Oryza sativa Japonica Group: one gene and its partners. The protein of the gene in region 2 interacts with the protein of the main gene of each other region in a pairwise test. Links are inferred from orthologs where the notes say so. Each region holds a gene or a part of one and is shown on either strand. Other genes may lie near its edges. The genes, in order: E3 ubiquitin-protein ligase BRE1-like 1, probable protein phosphatase 2C 37 and protein rough sheath 2 homolog.

What was found.
Region 1: the proteins of probable protein phosphatase 2C 37 (region 2) and E3 ubiquitin-protein ligase BRE1-like 1 interact in binary tests that used the Arabidopsis thaliana proteins (3 or more experiments, as listed by UniProt). The link is inferred for Oryza sativa Japonica Group from reciprocal best matches to the Arabidopsis thaliana genes AHG1 and HUB1.
Region 3: the proteins of probable protein phosphatase 2C 37 (region 2) and protein rough sheath 2 homolog interact in binary tests that used the Arabidopsis thaliana proteins (3 or more experiments, as listed by UniProt). The link is inferred for Oryza sativa Japonica Group from reciprocal best matches to the Arabidopsis thaliana genes AHG1 and AS1.

The regions. Positions count from the first base shown.
Region 1 is NC_089038.1:28,062,186-28,066,320, forward strand, and holds the start of E3 ubiquitin-protein ligase BRE1-like 1, read right to left. Parts: upstream 2,900-4,135; 5' UTR 2,528-2,899; coding exon 2,405-2,527; intron 803-2,404; coding exon 641-802; intron 561-640; coding exon 473-560; intron 1-472. UniProt on the Arabidopsis thaliana protein: E3 ubiquitin-protein ligase that monoubiquitinates H2B to form H2BK143ub1. H2BK143ub1 gives a specific tag for epigenetic transcriptional activation and is also prerequisite for H3K4me and maybe H3K79me.
Region 2 is NC_089038.1:4,735,952-4,739,787, reverse strand, and holds the end of probable protein phosphatase 2C 37, read left to right. Parts: intron 1-2,478; coding exon 2,479-2,837; 3' UTR 2,838-3,263; downstream 3,264-3,836. UniProt on the Arabidopsis thaliana protein: Negative regulator of abscisic acid (ABA) responses during seed germination.
Region 3 is NC_089046.1:24,247,833-24,252,026, forward strand, and holds the start of protein rough sheath 2 homolog, read right to left. Parts: upstream 2,868-4,194; 5' UTR 2,518-2,867; intron 1-2,517.

The DNA of each region.
Region 1 (4,135 bases), about 23 Mb from region 2:
TATCAAGCTCATTAACATAAATAACTTATAACTTATTACATAATCTGAAAAGTGCAGTTTTTGCAACCAAGCAGCATTATCTTAAACAATTGCCACAAGAGCAATGGACCACAAAGATGACCAGATCAAAAGGTTTTTCCATAGTGATAATCATTTGCTACTTAAATACTCCCTCCGTCCCATAATATAAGGGATTTTGACATTTTGCTTGCACTGTTTGACCACTCATCTTATTCAAAAAAATTTGTGCAAATATAAAAAACGAAAAGTTGTGCTTAAAGTACTTTGGATAATAAGTCACAAAAAAACTAATTCCAAAAATGTTTGAATAAGACGAATGGTCAAACAGTGCAAGCAAAATGTCAAAATCCCTTATATGAGGAGACAGAGGGAGTAGATGGCACTCCCATATTTCAAAACCTGTCTAGGAAAATGTAGTTGGGATGTTTTTAGAAAATAAAGGAAGTCATACCCTTTTGTACATTGTTGTGCCCTGAACCAGGGCTGGAATTAGGAGATCCACTTTTGCAAAAAGATCTTGACTTCAGGTCTGCCACAAGCTGATCAAATAAAGGGATTCAGGAAGAAACATTATAAAGTCTGTCTTTTTTGGTAAAACATGCACAAAATAATAGCTTACTTGTTCCCAAGAACTGTTGACCAAGGAAAGTGTCTCATTATGAGTCCTCTGCTTCTCTTTTAGCCCAGCGAATTTATTTTCAAGAGCACGATACTCAAACTTGTGGGCTTCTAGTTGCTCTGAGAGCTTTTGGTTTTTGTATTTGAGTACAGTAAAATCGAGCTGCCAAACAAGACAATATAAGTAGGCAGTGTGCGAAATCAAAACTAAAGATATGTGTTTGGCAACAAAGAGAAATCACTAATTCAAGCATAAAAAGAAAAGCTGAACCAACATTCAAGTATCTTTTATTTACAACTTGAAGAAGAGCAGAGCCAAAACAGAACATAAACACAAAAGGAGCCGTACTGATGATATCACCAACATGATAAATAGGTTCATTTCATGCTACAGGACAAAAGAAAAAAAAGGTTTTGTGCATGGATATTCCATATTGGACCAAATACGGTAACACATGAGTAAACGCATAAAAGGTATCATCCAACATGCCATTATACCCTTGACCTATCCCTCCCAAAATTTAACCAATCTTTTCCCATATTTCCCTCTTGTAAAATTAAATAACAAAGTAGGCGAATAATTGCCAGTTGTCACCGGTAGTAACAGCGATTAATTGTCAGTTGTCACCAGTAGTAACTTGGTGACAAATTTCATTAATATTAATTTAACGACCCAATTTAGACCTTTATCTATATCAAAAAACAATAGCATATGCTATGGAAAAATAAAAGGCGCTATGATTGTAAATAAGCATTGGCACATTATGGTATCATTGCCAGCAAGAAAATTAAATTTGTCCAAAGCAGCAGCGGAGCTAGGGCCCGGCCACCACGGGCAGGTGCCCGGGCTCCACCGTATTAGCCAGTGGATTACCACTTAATGCCCCTGCTTAATCTGCTTCTTTTAATAGAGGCTAAATCAGCTATGCAAGCAACAAAGGAGTCAAGACACAGCCTCACACCAATGTTTGCTGCCATCAGCCTAAGGCCAAAGCTACACAGTTCTCCAACAGCCATTATCTACTTTTGACAAAAAAATAATACTTATTAATCCTATAATCTAGCCCATTCGTTTAGGTTTGCCCAAGCTCAAGAGAACTTCTAGATCCGCTACTAGTCCAAAGTTAACCATTTCAATATCCATAAATGTAGCCACAAAAAACTAAGATCATTTAAAAAACTCAAAATACGAAGGTTTACCAAGGAATTGCCACTTTCTGCTATCATGAACACGGGAAAACAAGAATGCAATGTAAGTCAAGTAACAATTTCACAAGTCAGCCTCCCATCTATCACCGAGTAATAATTATAGAATACATCAATTGCTCTAAAGAACCATAAACAATCGTGCAATAGTTGCAGAATCCGAAACGGATAATGCATAGCTCATTCCTACTAGTATTTTTGTTTTCACTCTGACAGGAGGCAATATACATAGGGCTTCTTCCACTAACGACCACAACACAGCAAGACTTGCAATTGCATAGAGCTCAGCATAAGTACAAAAGCATCAAACACTTGTCAAGAATAAACTCATCGATCTATACTCAAACAGTCCACAATAGATCTTTTAGCGGATGTATGGATTCCATGACATAACAAAACAGCTAAAAATCAGTCACCATGCCACCATCTAGCTATCATACAACAACATATCAAACAGTACTACCACCATAAACATGAACTCAAACAAACAGTACTAACACGGTACCACCATAAACATTAACTCAAAACGATACAGAGCTGGCTCGAGATGCGCAAATACCTTCTTATCTTCGGAGGTGGGTGCAACCGCCAGCCGCTTGGCAGGAGAAACAGGGGCCCCGCCGCCGGGCGCGACGGAGCTACTGAGCCGCCGCTTCCGGTCGGGCTCCCCCGTGCTCCCCATAACCCTAACCCTAACCTCTCCCAGGTCCTCCGATTCTCCACATGCGGCGGGTGAAACCAAACCCCGAAACCACAAGGGCCAACCCTCCCGGCCACCTACCGGTCCAATCCACCACCCAAACCCCCGCCCCGGCGACTCCCGAACCCTAACACGCGGATCACCAAACCAATCGCACCCAAAAAAACAATCGCAAAAAAAACAAAGAGCGGATGAAGGACGGAATTGGAGCGCGGGACGAGCGGATCGCGGCGGAGGCGGAATTCGGCTAGGGTTGTAGGGGGGAAGGGATCGGATCAGGGAGGTGTGGGCGAGAGGTGGGAGTTAGCGGTGGTTTTGGCGTGTGCACTGTCAAGGGGGGAGGAGGTGAGAACCGTGAGGAGAAAGAAGAGAAGGGGGGGAGGAGAGCTAGGCGAACGGCGCAGAGAGGAGAGAGAATATGCGTGTGGGGAGGCGGAGTGAGTTATCTCGGGCGGAGGCGGCTGTTCGCCCCGCTGCACGGACTCCGTGCTTCTGTGGACAGTGGACACCAGCGGGCATAGGGTTGGACCTCCGTCAGTCGGCCTTTTAACAGCCAGCCCAGAATGGTGAGAACGACAATGTTCAATATAGATTACTGTCACAAATTATTTATTTTGTTATATATATGATAAAATATTGTTTTTAAAATTAACAGGTACTCCCTCCGTCCCATAATATAAGGGATTTTGACTTTTTTGCTTGTACTGTTTGACCACTCGTCTTATTCAAAAAATTTGTGCAAATATAGAAAACGAAAAGTTGTGCTTAAAGTACTTTGGATAATAAAGTAAGTCATAAACAAAATAAATAAATTCCAAAAATTTTTGAATAAGACGAATGGTTAAACACTGCAAGTAAAAAGTCAAAATCTCTTATATTATAGGACGGAGGGAGTAGCGTATAAGCAAGTACTGGCACCTGAACCTAGGACATGCATTATTTGATCTTCATGATAAGTCTTTCATATGAAGTTCTTTTTATACGGTGTGAATCCAGTGTATTACAATTTTCAATGTAAAGCTTTGATTATCAGTGCCATACAAGGTCATATTACTAAGCAATAGTAAGTTGTTGGTTCATGTGGTTGCAACTCTTGTTAATTAACTCAGATAGCTTGTTTTTAAGAAAAGGTTAATATGGTTATTTTGAAGTAGTCTTGGTCTTTTTCATTTTAAATTTTGTTTTACCATAGTTGAATTGGTCATGAATATAGAGAGGTTAGCCAATAATCTATTGCTTAATACTATTAGTTAAGGTTTCAGTGTTTACCACATGACGGACATGAGCAATACTCTGGTTTCTACATGTGATAATATCGGTCGATCATAACATTAATGTGGTAGGTTGGTAACGGAAGGTTAAAGCATGATAACTGTCGAGAGGCAAGATGAAAACTAAGATGTTCAGAAATACAAAGATACATATATATGAACCATTTGGTCGAGGAAAAGTAGTCCTAGAGAAGCATACCACGTGGGGAACAGGGGATGAAACATGATGGTATGAAAAAAAAAACATGTCCTCTATGCACACACATGATGTATGTGATTGTCGTATTGGGGATAAAGTTGGTTCAAATGCACAATGCTT
Region 2 (3,836 bases):
CTTTGGATAGAACTTGGAGCCACAATAAAACCAATTTCTGTCGCTCACGTGTTCGTCTTGGCGTGGGTTTTGATTTCACGCGGAAACATGTACTCAATGAGTAAATGTTTCGAAAAGAAGTCTGCTAAGAGCAGGTACAATAGTAGGCTATAAGCCAGCTGCAAACATATTTTAAGAAGATAAATAAGGAGAGAGAAGAGTAGCAGATTACAGATTTGTAGCCAGCTATAGCACAGACTCCAATACGCAGTGTGTGTATGACTGGTGGGACCAGGTATTAATAGTGTATTATGTAACTATTGTATAAATGAGCTATTAGATTGGCTATAGATAAATTGGAGCTAGTAGTTGGCTATAATATTAAACTTGCTCTAATAGAAGTAGTCAGGAGTTGTACTTGTGCACATAATCTGGAGTTAGGGAGACCAATTATATATGGTTGGTAATGCCTTGCCATTCTAGTTTAGTTGCTCTGGATATCATTTGTTTATTGTTCACTAGCCTTTTGGTTTTGCTTGATCATTGGGCTAAACCACTGAAGCTCCATTGGCAAGTCAGTTTCTAAGACGTGTCCAGTTGTTCTTAAACTATCATGTTGCCCCCAACGAGGTTGGGGGAAATGGAAATAAACAAAAGATCGGAAGGTAATACTATATCACAAAGGGTGGTTACATTTGTCGCTCTGCATGTTCTTCCAAACATAAAAAGGAACCTATTGCTCTGCATCTTTCCACCCCTTGACCAATCAAAAACTGCCTGGTGACAGAATCTAGGTCAAATAAGGATGTTCCTGCTTTAAGACTATGAGGAAAATAAGTATTATATGCAAGTTTCGTGGCAGGAAGGTTATGAATATGACAATAGCATGGTACCCTATGAATTTAAGGTTTTTTACACTTTAGTTACATAGGATATTTGCATCTGTCCGAAGGTACCAACTTTTTTTTGTGGTTTATACAATTAACTATGACAAAGATAAAAGGTACAATTCCAGCTTCTAATGAGCTTCTAGTAGATGTTACTTGGCAGTTTGTTGAGTTGATACACAGTCACATCACTGACCCCACCGGTTTGTGCCATATTATCTGGCTTATCAAGAAAATGACCATATGTACCCAGTCCATCTCACTTTAGCCATTAGGCCTAACATTTGGCAGTGCCTGTATGGTGTTATTTCATTTAGTTATATTATCAGATGTCTGAAAGAAGAAAGATGGATTAGACATAAAAGACACGCGTTCATCTCTGATTCACCATCTGTGAAAGTGCTAGCTCTTTTTATTAGTTGCTCTGATTGTAACCTAACCAACTGACTAAAAGAAATGATCTTCATAAATAAGTGGGACATATATGTTTGATTAGGCTAGTGACGTTGTCCTCTGTTGTATCCTAAGTTCCCAATAGTGATGTTACACCTTTTTTAATCTAGCTTTCAGGATTGACAAAGGAAATACCTTGGGTAGTAATAATTTGGACCTTTTGACAATAGAGAAAAGCTCAACTTGCACCATTGTAGAACCTTGTCAGTCTATTTGATTTCAAAACTATATAATTGTACTTCATATCGAATGTTTATAATCAAATAACATAGAAAATATTGTCTCTGCAGATCTGATGTTGTTTCTGATAAACCACTTTTTCTTAAAATAGTTTTTATCTGTCTATCTCACAAGCTCTGTTTTAAACTAGAGTTCAGTGGTAGTATGTTTATATATCAGGTTTCAAGTTGGAGAGGGTTGTATTATATTACAGACACACCATTTTGGTTGTAGGAATTGCCCATTTCACATATAGGAAGCACCACACTACTTATCACTTATTAAGTATTTTGAATCAATGAAGATTCCTACTTTATATAGTAGATTAATTAATATAATGATAATATAATTTATGTGCAGCAGAAGGAAGCAGTTTACTTGGCCCAAAAGGTCAAAGGAAATGTGTTCTTTCAAAATACTTATCTGTCCAACTTGTCATTATAGGCTTATACATGATACATCACCTTCCCTTGATATAGGCAGTACAAATTTCCCTACATTCTAGTAGTTACTGAGTGGTTATAGAATATTTTATGTTTCTGCATCTCACGTTTGCCCCTGTTTTGATGCTTAAGCTTTTCATTGCAAAAGGGCTGGTCCCTGTGTATCCTTTCATTGTAGCTTCAGAGGTATCTGTGGCTTAAATATTTGGATGGAGTTCTTGAAATGCCGTAGCCATAATAATGTTCTCGATTTCACTAGTTCGTTAGGTTTATATGTGTCATCTTCTCCTTTTTCTTTCATGAAACTAAATAGGATTCCTGAAAATACTATGTAATACCATGAATCTTCTCATTTACTAGAATTCAATGCAATACCATTTGAAATGTTTGAAAATTTATTTCCTTTCCTGTATATTACTTACTTTATGAGATTCTTTATGTAAACTAATTCAGTATCATGTATGTTACTCTCAATTATTCTAAATATGTTCACGCAGGAGACAAGTACCTAAAGCCTGAAGTCATATGTGAGCCAGACATCACCATAACCGTGAGGACCGTCGACGACGAATGCCTCATCCTCGCGAGCGATGGGATGTGGGATGTGATCTCAAACGAGACGGCCAGCGATGTCGCTCGACAATGCCTTGAAGACGGGAGCCCCACCAGTGGGCGTCGCGCAGCTAGGAGCGGCGAAGCCGCTTCCAGCAGCGCCGGTGCTCCGGCAGCAGCGGTAGGCCAAGAATCTGAGCCTCGCTGCTACCGTGCCGCTGCTCTCCTTGCGCGCCTCGCCCTCGGCAGGGAGAGTTCAGATAACATTAGTGTCGTTGTGATTGATCTGAAAGGAAGAGGGTAGGCAGAGATCATGGAGGTAGCCTGGTCTCAGATCACAATAAGAATTTATCTGGCTGCTTCATTTTCCTTCATGTTTTAGCCTTTGTTATGTTCAACCCTCACAAAAGCAAGCTCTAGTAGTGGTTGTTAGAACAAAGGGAGGAGTTGTTTCTGAAAGTTGGGGTGGTCTGAACTCTGAAATTTTCTTTGTTCTTTCTTTTTTCTTCTTTCAATTTTACTAGCTTCCTAGTAGTTCTTTGTCGGTTATGTTCACTGGGAAGAGTCCAGTGGAAAAAAAAAAAGGAGAATGGATGCAAACATTGCCATCCATAGAGATAAAAGGAGATAACAAAAAAGAAATTGCAAATATGCAAAATGTCATGAGACATTATGTACATTATTTATTATTATATTCCATTTTCTCATGGAGCCCTGTGGCTTGCAGTTACTGTTTTTTTGTGGATGCCTGTTAATCTATCTATGATCCAATCAAATGTAGTTACTGACAAATCAAAGTGGGACATGTATAGTCTCATTTCGCTTATGTTTATAAGCCATCTTATTAAAACTTAATTTTCAAGGTGTTTTTGTGATTTTTTTAATTATAGTCTTTTTTACAGTATGTGCTTATAAATCAGTAAGGATAAGTTATACCCATAAATTAATTTTTTTAGAATTTAAACTATTTTACTTTAGTTATTAGTAATTAATAAACGGTTCCATAAAGCATATATGCATAAGCGACAAGGAGAGTGACAAAAGACCACCTCCCCTTTTCAAACTCTTTGGTCTTTTAGGCAACTAGACGTACGTACAAAACCTAAACACGCCACATTCACATCACAATACTTGCGTGCTCGTATTACCTGTGCATGCTATAAGCATGCTTGAAATGTTTGGTGATGCCAAATATTCCTAGAGTAGGGGTAAGTGCAAACTCCCTGAATATGCAAGAATATACTTACAAAAATACGATGGTCCTAAGAACAGATGATAGTCCTTCTCTCCAACATTGGCTCTG
Region 3 (4,194 bases), on a different chromosome or scaffold from region 2:
TACAAAAAATTTACGTATTTTTAGTTCAATGTAGAGCACTTATCTTACAGATTTCAAGTGTAGTAAGTGTGTAAGCATGAACTTTGCAAACAGAAAAGATCAAATCTTCAGTTCAGAAGAAAGAAACGACACACTGCAGATCAGGAATGGCTTGGCATGGTTTCTAGTTGTGCTAATCTAGTCAAACAACCAGTCAACCACAACCAGTTTAAATGCAAATGTTGATACAGAGTAAAGTGATTACCGTCTGGAGGGAGCAAGAAACTGGCCAGAACAGAAGCTAGGGCTGTGATAGTGTAAAGTTAGTTGCTTTATTCATTGCAGCATTTATATGTTTCAGTTTGGGGTGTCAAAAGCAGGGGAGTTAATTTATTTGTTCAGTGATCCATAACTGTGACCTGCACACTCTACACATCCTACTTACTACCACAGTACCACAGATAAAGCTTATACATGCTCCTCTACAACAACATTGGTACTAAATTTGTGCAAGATTATTCCTTTGACATTATACAGTTAACTACTCGTTCAGATAACAGTTAAAGCACAGAAAATGACAGAGAGAGAAAAAAAAAAGAGAAGGCTGAATTGCTCCAATTGGTTCTTTGGAGGTTGCAAGGGCCAACCGACCATAAACACTATTGGTAAGTAAGAGCATTGTTAAGCACCCATGATTCATCCAGCTATTACTATCAACATACAGACAAATTCACAGATGTCAGGACAAGTTGTGGGCACAATTCTTGTGAGAGGAAATAATAAGGCTACCACTGTTTTCTCGCAAGCTTGTCTTCCATCTTTAGCAGTGTCACCATCTGGCATTAATTGGGAGCTGATCAATGGGGAGATAATCTGCCAAAACACCTACCTAATACCCTCAAGAAGGCTACAAAATAAGGGAATGTGCAAGAGGCAGAAGCAAATCCAAAGTAAAAGTGATGATTCTAGGACCATTTGGAGCCCCCACTGGTTGCCTACTAATGACGAATTAAAGCTATGGCCAGGGCTAATTGCGCACGAGATGGAATTTTGATTTGGACAATAAGGGTTAGTTGGTTAGGTGTCTCGAGCAAATTTGACAAATCGAAAACCAATTTAATTTGCAATAAATTCACTCTATTTAATATGGCACCTCTTTAGTTTTCACCTAATTGTAATGAAGGACTCATGAGAGAGAAATGCAATAAAATCTGCAAGAATTTCACCTAGAACATCTTCTGAATTCTTGCAAGCAATATGCTTTTGATTTTATTTTTTTTAAGTTGAGACAAAACAGTTGTTTCTAAAAAAAAGTATTTATAAAAGGGATTTATAGGAAACTTAGGATTCCTCAAGAGTGGTCTTGTGCCATCCATTTCATCTAGAAATTCAAGCATTAACCAAGAAGAAACAAAATGAAAGAATGTTGAAAGCATGGTAGTAGGCCAAAGAAATCAATGTGTTGTTGTTTGTTGATCTGATTGGATTGGACCGTTGTATCCTCCTTGGCTAGATGTTACTACCACAGTAGTAGTACTGACAAATTGAAAGCAGTGTGGGGGTATACTATACTATACTACTCCTATACCACAAGTATACTGAAACATGGATCTGTGTTGCTGGGTGTTACTATCTTTCAGGTAACTAATATAGCAAGTTCTCAATTACTGACCATTTTGTTTTTTTTTCCTTAGGTGGTAATTTTCATGGAAGTGAATGTTCCAAGGGATATGGGCTGAGAAGCAGGTAAAAACAATCATGAAGTAATCAAAGGAGGAATGATGAAGAAGAAATGGCATCTCTGGAAAATCTGTACTGAAGAAGTTACTTTGTTTACCTCTCTTGAGTAGGAGGAAACAATCCATAAACCCCCAAAAGTACTCTGGATAATAGCATATTTCAACTAATTATAAAAAAGAAACATTTGAAGAGGAAAAAAAACAGAATCAAATCTTCATATCTGGGAGCAGACTAGCAGTAAGTAGAATCCCCCTAAATACATTATTGGACCATACAACAATCAGTACAATAATGCTGCCATTGAAGATTCAAGAACTAGGTAGATGTTTCAATCAAGAACACAAATTTCACCCACTAACCACAATCCATACAAAATCCACAAAAGTAGTTTCACTCACCATATCAGAGGCAACATTTAACCCCAACCTAGCAGATTATCTATCCATACTAACTAAATCCCAACTGGTGAATCAAAAGAAAGAACTAAGCAAACTGACAATCAATCCTTACCCTGAGAGCACATCCTCTACCAACTTCCCTACAAGACAAGAAATCTAACAGAAAGATCTATTGCAGAAAAACAGACTAGCAGATATAGGAGAGACAAAATCTGACCAAAAACACCCAACATGTAGAGCCATACAGACCAAGAAACATGAACACAAAAAACATAGTAACAAAGCAACCCACAGAACAGCTTTCTTCAGAGCACAACACACATGGCACCTGCTGCATTACATCATAAGCTCTACACTACTGAAACTGCTCAAGAAACTGAAGGTAGTAGGATTCACTTACAGAAACGCCACTGCACCATCCTGCTGCTCTGTTCTTGGACCTCCCTGGAGCTCAAAACCCCAAATGATTTTAAGAACAAGAACAAGAAGAAGAAGAAGTCCCAAGAACACGAGCAGTGGTTAGTACTAGCAGTAGTAGTACCTAGCTAGAGAAAGGCAAGGACAGTGAGATGTGAGCTGAAAGATTCTTGTGAGCCTCCCACTGAGAGAGAGAAATACAGAGAAGACTCTCTGTATATGGAGGCAGTGGTGAGCAAGCTCAAGTAAAGGAGGTGGGGGACAAGGAGCAGCGAGAAATTAGGGCACGCGAGGGTGGTGGTGGTGGAAAAGACGGGAGGAGGAGAGGAAAAGGGCTGGGTGGAAAGGAGAGGCCTCTGTATTTATAGACAGAGAAAGAAACAAAGAAGCAGAGAAAGAAAGAGATGGAGAGAGCTAGACTAGTCACTGCAGCTGCAGCAGCTGCAGCAAACAGTGCATGCATTGCAATGCAATGCAATGCAAAGAAAGCACCATGGCCACACCCACACATACAGCTGCTGCTGCTGCTGCTGCTAAGCTTGAATGCACATGGACTCATGGAGATGGAGATGCTGGAGATGTGCATGGTGCATTGGTGCCATGGTCCATGCAGCAATGGATGTGAGGTGAGAGGTGAAGGCTTTGCATTTGCTTTTGCTTCTCTTGGAGATGACTGACTTCACTTCACAGTGTGGGTGTGATCAGAGATGGCACTGTTGGAGAGGGAGATGGGAGGCAAATGAATATCAATATCAAATATAATTTTCTGAATGTTTGTATATGCATTTTCTTGCAGCATGCATGCATGCATGGACAGGGGAGATGATCCATACTCTAGGTGAGTCCAGATGAGATGAGATGGTTGCCTCTTGTTGCCAATTTTTATTTCTTTACACTGTGCTGGTACAATGGCCGTGCATGGATGAGCCATCATCTGCATTATTTTTTTTGCTGCTGCTGTAGCACAAAACTGTGCTAGGAATTTTCTTGAGAAGATGCATGGTGAAATGGAATCTACTCCCACCAATCTGGCTGCCACCCAGCCCAGATCACAGTACAATGTTTGTAAAAAAATCTCCAATTCTCCACTGCTCAACAAGCCAGATGCATGAGAGTCGTCGTCCGATCGCAATCCAACGGCTTAGTAGTAAAACCATGTAAAATTTTATATCCTCTCATCGTCTACATGTTAACTTACTGAGCTTAGCCAAAATTTGAATTTAAAAGGTTATATTTTAAGTTGATTTTAAGATTTTTTTTCTTCTTAATCTATTTTCTAGTATCGTCTTTCAAAATCGCTAATAACACTAATATAGAAGTTTGAACATAAATTATTTTTGTCTGATTCATTCATAGTAGTCAATGAAGACTGAGACTTAATTGATTGTATTAAAATAATACTACATTTCACATGAAAACTCCTCCCTCCATTCTAAAATACAACGATTTATAGGTTGTTTAGCAAATACTAAATTTAGGTCCAAATATTCCCTTTTAATCACTTCGGTTATCAATTTTTAAATTTTGAATTGTTTGAATTTCACTTTCAATCATCTGATTGGCTTTGGAATCATTAAAATGATTGTAATCATGAGAATCAGTTTTGGAATGCTTACATTTAATATAAAATTTGAATCCTAAAAATCTTTACGTTTTAAAA